Arabidopsis thaliana: one gene and its partner. The protein of the gene in region 1 purifies or fractionates together with the protein of each later gene. This does not show direct contact. Each region holds a gene or a part of one and is shown on either strand. Other genes may lie near its edges.

What was found.
Region 2: the proteins of CYCB1;3 (region 1) and AT5G46780 purify together in Arabidopsis thaliana (affinity purification with mass spectrometry, with the first as the bait; one large-scale study listed by BioGRID). This does not show direct contact.

The regions. Positions count from the first base shown.
Region 1 is NC_003074.8:3,625,142-3,628,898, forward strand, and holds CYCB1;3 (CYCLIN B1;3), read right to left. Parts: upstream 2,133-3,757; 5' UTR 1,999-2,132; coding exon 1,959-1,998; intron 1,798-1,958; coding exon 1,427-1,797; intron 1,348-1,426; coding exon 1,246-1,347; intron 1,154-1,245; coding exon 567-1,153; coding exon of another isoform or gene 509-566; exon of another isoform or gene 479-508; coding exon 334-478; 3' UTR 145-333; downstream 1-144. Other genes in the region: AT3G11530 (Vacuolar protein sorting 55 (VPS55) family protein), read right to left, coding at 3,660-3,757.
Region 2 is NC_003076.8:18,977,105-18,980,734, reverse strand, and holds AT5G46780 (VQ motif-containing protein), read right to left. Parts: upstream 1,783-3,630; 5' UTR 1,500-1,782; coding exon 786-1,499; 3' UTR 552-785; downstream 1-551. Other genes in the region: AT5G46770 (uncharacterized protein), read right to left, coding at 2,840-3,241.

The sequences.
Region 1 (3,757 bases):
CCAGATTTCTTATTGGAAATTATTATTTGACAAATGTGAACAACTTCACCTTGATCGTACCATCGTACTTGGTCTTATGAAGAACAAAGAAGTTTTCAAGTTATAACAGATAACTATGTAATTTGAATTTGACTCCATAGTTAAAGAATATGATGGGAAAAAGGACCAAAACGATTCTGATTATAGAAGAGAAGAAGAATTTCATTATAATACTTTTGAATTCATACGGAAACATCATTTCTCAACAAGAACCAATACCTTTACATATAAAACGATAAAAGATAGAGAATCTAAAATGCAGAGTTTGCAAGAGAGCCATCTTTCAAGCCTTGTTCATGGAGCAGATGACATAAGAGACTTGGCTGGTGAAATCAGAGCAACAGCACCTCTTCCAAGTTTCGAATACTTCTTCAACACACCACGTAGCTTGCTCTCCCCCGCTTTCGAGTGAATGAAAGCTAAAAGCTTTGAGCAATCCCTGATTACACACAGAAACGCACATAGAGAATTAATATACAAACAATATGATCACAAACTTGCTAGTGTAAAGAATTAAGAAGACTAACATGAGCTGAGATTCGGAGTAGCCTGTGTGGAATTTCAGTGTATCAGTCCAAGTAGGAGTCTTGTTCAAGCAACACCTTGCTGTGTAGACCGCTGATGCAGCAAGCATGGAAGGACAGAACATTAAACTGTCGTGATGCATCAAACCCAACTCAGCTAGAAAGTGAACCAAGTTCTCCAGTTTCTGGTCAGAACCCGAGGCTTTAATAAACCTCACAAGGAACACATACTGTGTTGGAACTGTCAAGTACCATTCAAGATTCCCCAAAATGGTTTTCTCCATCACTAGAATCTGTCTGCTGTTGTAGGAGTTATCAGTCACATATACCAAATCATTGACCTGAGGAGGCCAGATTTCTTCGTACTTCGAAGCTATAAGCAAAGCACTAACACCTACAAGCTGTAGTTCTCTTCTAGGCACAGTCTTCAGAGAAAGAAAACGATCAATTATGTTGACAGTGAGGTAAAGAGTCTCAGGGGAGAGATCAAACTTGACATGAACTTCTACAAGCCAATCAATAAGGATTGATCTCATCTTCTCATCAATCTCAGGTTGTGTATGCATATACATCTGAGGTTTGCTCTCATTCTGCAACAAAGAACAAAACAACAAACTTAAAGAAGACATTCACATAACTTATCCATAAGCATAAACAAAAGAAGGTTTCACTGTAAGTGTACCACAACTTCTTTGTAGAAAATGTACATATCCTCAACGTATTCCACAGCAGCAAGATCATTTTCTTTGTCGACATAATCAATATCCAAAGTCTTAGAAGCAGCCTAAGTGTGTACACCAATCACAAAACCAAATAATCAGAACTTTGCACATTATGCTTTCAATGTTGAACAAAGAATCTACCTTGCTTCGAGCATCAAGAACCGAAGAGTATGTCACTTTCTTCTTGTTCTCTTTAGCTTTAGCAACCTCGTTTGTATCAGGACTTATCACAATCACTTCGATTGGTTTTGACGGCTCACGCTTATCACCTCTTGCTTTCTTTTGAACCGCTCTTACAACTTCTTGTTTCTTAGTAACTCCATCAAGAATCGGAGCCTTTTTGTTAGCGGCGGCTGCAACTTGTGCGTTTTCTAGCAACTGAGCACGAAAGTTACGAGTAATGGGGCGGTTAAGCTTTCCTCCTTCGACTCCAATAAGAGAATCGACGTTTCCAATGTCGCCAAGAGCACGACGATTCTTTGCTGCTGCGTTTTTGAGGTCGATGGGATCACCTGATAAATTTTAACAAAAAGCAACCTATCAAGATTTGGATCCTTGGAAAACAGATTTGTAAGCAATCTTTGATAACATCTAAATAAAAGGATTCATAGATGAGAGTTTTTATGCAGATCCTAGAGTTAAAACAAAGATTCATCAGAGGGGAGAAACAAACCTCTAACTGGTTGAGGATGAACAACTGGTCCTGTCGCCATGATTTCTGGTGTTTTCAAACTCTCTGATTACTCCAAGATAAGGGGTTTCTAGATGAGAAGAAGGATGATTGAGATTTGAGAGAGAGCGCTTAAGGGATAGAGAAGAGAGGAGGAGCCATTAAAAGCATAATCGCAACGGTCAAATTATTAGCGGGATTAGACTTCTAGCCGTTGGATGATGAACTTTAAATCTAACGGTGGATAAGGAGGTTTTGTCTTATAGGATTGTGAAGATTCACGCCTTTCACACACTTAATGACAAGGTCCGAGTTTTAATTACTGGTTTATTTCTTCCCATTAGTGACAAGTTTGGAGTTTGATTTCTTCCTATAATTGGTTTTCTTTTCTTTTTTAAGGGAGTCAAAGCAACGTTTAAATATTGTTATCACCTTATTAGCACACCACAGTTCATGTAAACGATTAAAGATTGGTCGTTCGTTTTTTGTTTGAATTTATATTTTATATGAACCACCTTACAAGAAAGGTAGCATTCTCACTTTATTAATATACCATTGTTGTAAGATAGTGCTTTTTATCCAATGAACATGGGTCTCTTAATTAAATCACAAGGCCACAAAATTACTTAATGCAATTTAGTAAACTTCGAAATAAATAACTCTATGCTTAATCTTGAGGTTACATAGCAATTTGCAAGTCACATCATTACAAAAGGGATAAACATCATATATCAACGCAAACTCCAAACAGATAAACAATCAAACTGTTTTTCAATGGCGTAACTACAATATGAATAAGTAAAATAATTATGTAACACTCTATAAAAGTTAACTCATCATTATCAAACATTTCGCAGACAATAAAACAATATCGAGTTAAAACCACATAAAGGAGATATATTGGATTGAACATAGAGAAATGGGAGATGTCAGATAAATTGCCAAATAGAGTTTTTGAGGTCATGATGAAACCATTCGCACATCTAATTGAATCATCATCCATTTACCATTCCTCCAAATTACAGAAAAAAGAGTTGACGGCGAAGTCAGATTATAAAATGCCAAATAAAGTTTTTGAGCTCATGATGAAACCATTCGCACATCTAATTGAATCATCATCCCTCGCCGTTTTTCACTTCAAAGAAACAACCAACGTAACAAAATTAAACGATCGTGCAGTCTGAAAAACAATTCCTCAGATTACAAGAAACGATGCTGCAGATTATAAAAAACACAAAAAAAAAAAACTAAATTGCAGAACAACCAACCCTAGACGATGACGGCTAATAATAATCGCAAGGATATATATATGAAAGGGGTCTCTTTTAAAATTACGCTTCTACCCTTATGAAGTTCATGGGCTTTTATTATCTGAAGGGCCTTCGGACATTATTTCATGACCACGTGTTACAGTTGAACCGTTCTTTGTTAATCTCTCGAAGCTAATCTAGGGATTAGGGAACATTCACAATGATGAATTAAACTTTTTCCTAAACATGCGAAACAAAATATTTTGGCACTTAGTTTCAGGAAAAGATTCACAGTGATGAATAAAACTTTTTACAAACATTGAGTGATACAAAGCTTTACAAAAAGAGGGAGAAGAACACAACTTTCTTAACCACTCATAGTAACCTCATCTTTTCTTCACACTCTCTTTCTCATACGAATCCAATTAGTAATTCACGAGCAGCAACATCTACGTTACCAGTCATCATCGAGACTAGCCCGGTGAAAACACATGACAGTGCAAATGAATATGAAGAATGATGTGAACTCTATGAGCATTGCACCTGTCTCGA
Region 2 (3,630 bases), on another chromosome or scaffold:
TTCGATTTGTCATTTTCCTTACCAATTAACACAACACATAACATATATAGATAGATTCACATTATAAAACAAAGACAAAACGACGTCGTTTTCTTAACGGGTGTGGGATTAGTCGGGTAAATCACAATAGCGGTATAATAAACGCGGATTTGTGGTTAATCTCGGTTTAATGACCGGTTCAATTGAAATCATATTTTTAAGGATGAATCTGAAAGTACATGTTGCAATTTTAAGAATTATCAAAGTTTATGGTGAAAATTTTAGGAATAAAAAGTGTGGAGGGGGGAAAGCTGAGAATGCAATTAGTTTATGGCTATAAAATCAGTCAACCCTTTTCTTAACGGATATAGGTGAGTAATCGAGTAAATCGCAATCGCGGTACAGTAAACGCGGATTTGTGGTTATTCCCGGTTTAATGACTGGTTCAATTGGAAATGTATGTTTAAGGATGAATCTGAAAGTACATGTTGTAATTTAAAGAATTATCAAAGTTTATGGTGGAAATTTAAGAGGCAAAAAGTGTTAAGGTAAAAGCTGAGAATGCAATTAGTTTATGGTTATAAAATCAGCCAACCCAAACAAAATTGCATCTAAACTCATCATGAGGATAAAAAAAACGATTAACACATTGATGTTGAATCTCGATATTGGCCTTAGTTTATCAACAGTCAAATACATAATGAAATGAGCAATTTTCTTTCTAGCTATTTCAAATTACATAATGCTTACAACTTGGAGCACTTAATCCACCATCAGGATTATTAATACACTGCTACTATATTCAACTATTGATTTTTCCATAATGGACTAAGCAATGGAAAGAAAAAACCCGGTGATGGCGGTGGTAGCGATTCGTTACTACCGCCTAAAAACCGAGGTGAAAATGCAAAATTGGGTGAGAACAAAGGAAATGGTGATCTTGGCTGCGGTGACAAAGCAAACTGTGAAGCTGGAGACTGGAACGACATTGGATTAGGACCGGTTTGATGTGACTGAAATAAACCGGTTGATGGTTGAACCGGGTTTTGGTTTTGTGGCTGCACTCGGTTTCCGACAGGGCTTGATTCGATTAGGTAACGCATATAGGCCGAGATGGGAGATTCAGCCGGGTTACTCGAAAATTGGTTAACAGGCTGAACCGGTTCAGATGCAATTGGAACTGATTGAACCGGCGGTGGAGGTGGAGGTGGAGGTGGAGGATGGTTGAGTTGGGTCAAAGGAGCCGGTCTAACTTTAACCAACCGTGAATTTGGAGGTTTTGGATGGTTTGTTTGCGGAGGATTGACGGAAGAAGTTGAACCGAGTCCGGTTAGCTGCTGAACAATGGATCTGAAATCGGTTTTGTTGATGTTGTAAACCAAAGCTTGAGGGTTTTGTTGTTGATTTTGTTGGTTTGGTGGATCTTTACGAATGTTTTTTCCCATCTTATTCACACCAAGATGATGATGATGATGATCATTATTATGATTATCATTACCACGATTACTCTGATCATCCATTATTAAAACTGAAACAAACAAACAAAACAGAGCAAATCCAAATCTTGGGAAGAAAATATTAGAGAAACCACAAAGACTTAAACCACAAGAAGATTTAAACCAAGAACCTCTCTAAAACAAGTAAAATCAAGGGTTTTATAACAAACCCTTTTAACGAGAAAGAGAACTTACGCGTTTTCTGAATTTGACTGGAAAAATGAAGATTGGAAAAGAAGAAACAAGAGAAGAAGAACAAAACAAGAGGCTTTAAAAAAGAAACTTTGACTTTTTGTCTCTCTTTTTCTCTCCATTAAGTTGTTAAATCTTAATTTAAAACTAGTTTCTGATAACTATTCGATTTTTTACTAGATACAACCAACAAGTGGATTAAAATTAGGAATTTAGGATACATACGTAAACAAGTTGAGGATTAGTGTTTATAATATGACTAAAGACTAAAGTTGATTATTTAGGAGTCGTATTTTTTATACCATGGTTTTACTACGATTGATCAGACTAAAGTTGATTATACAAGTGTTGATAATCTAATAGATCGTCGAAAAATTGTAGAACTGTTACATCTCTTATCGTTAAACTAGCGATGTGAAATAGCTGAGAATATTGTTTTAGTAACGTTGATATTACTTTATGATTGGTGTGATTGTTAAAACCGTATATCTTGTATTGCAATGGTATAGTTTGTACTATATAGCGATATGCCGATATGGATAACGATTAAAGAAACGAAGCTATACCACAAAAGTATATGTCATGACGATTCGAAACAAAATCTGCCATGTCAATTGTGTATTAATTATTTCGAAATTACGCAGTGCGAAAGTAGGCCCAATTGTAATGATGATTTACTTAACTTTTAAGTCGAGTCATAATACTCTTAGAGAATTAGAGATAAGTTTTCTTGTTTCTCTTATGATTGATTTTTTGTTGCTTTGTTGGTTACTAATAATTTTCTGAAAGATAGCAAAAGCTTTACTGCTTATGCAATTTGGCTATTTAGATGGAATAGTATACCACCAATAAGGATGATCTCTCGTGTTACGCAAGAAACTCGAAAACAGATATGAAAACGATTTTAGAAAAGAAACAAAACACTTTAATGAAATTACGTTTTCATTCAAAGACAAAAAAGAAACATAAAAACAAATATTCAAAGAGAACAAAACGTGACAAGTAATAAATCAATGGAAACGTTTTGTCGTCCAAATAATACTATTATACATCTCACATATTCTATCACGATTATATAATCACGAATCTGGATTTGAAACTATATGTAATCAGCTTTATCCTCTCACATTTATATAAAATCTCAGAATCATGATCAATCATTGATCATATATTCATATGTTAATCTTCCTTTTTTCTTCTATTAATCCTTGATCTCTCAAATTCTCAAAACTCCAATTCCTTCGGACTCCAGTGCTCCTTACGAGCTTTGGTTGTTCCGGCCGGGTTGGTACATTGCTAGGGCTAGAACCAACAGGACCACTTAGCCTAACGTGATGAATCTTTTTCACCTTCTTCATCTTATGCGCTAAAGACGATCCTGGCCGTCCAATCTTCTCATAGATCCTAGGACTCAAATTCCCTGACCAATTTCTCCCACCAATAGGATTTACACAACATGTTTTACCTAGAACATTGTTAATCTCGACCCTTGGTGGTCCAGGACCGGAGAGATCAACATCTTTGTTGGAATCTGTTCGTGGAAGGGCTTGACATGATAGACAATTTAGGCTCATGGCTTTTTTGCGATCTCCTTACGACAATGGAGATCAATAATGAGCGAGAGAGAGACAAGGAAGAAGAAAGAGAGACTATATGGTTTTATTTAGTTAGTAATATGTTTCTTGTTTTATTTTAGTAAAAGACTAACGAGAACTAATCTAATTTTAGTGAAAAGTGTATATTTGTAAATTCGATTTTGGGTAACACACACGTTGCATGTGTAAGTAGGGATATCGCCTCACACGTTAATTAACAACTATAACCTTCATAGAAATGAGAGAGTTTTCTGTCTTTGGTCGTTGGTTATAATCAAAGACAAATTTTGTAAGAATTAACAATAGTTGTTGTCATATATATTTTCATTACAAAATTATAGTGTGAACGAATGAGTGAACAACTATTT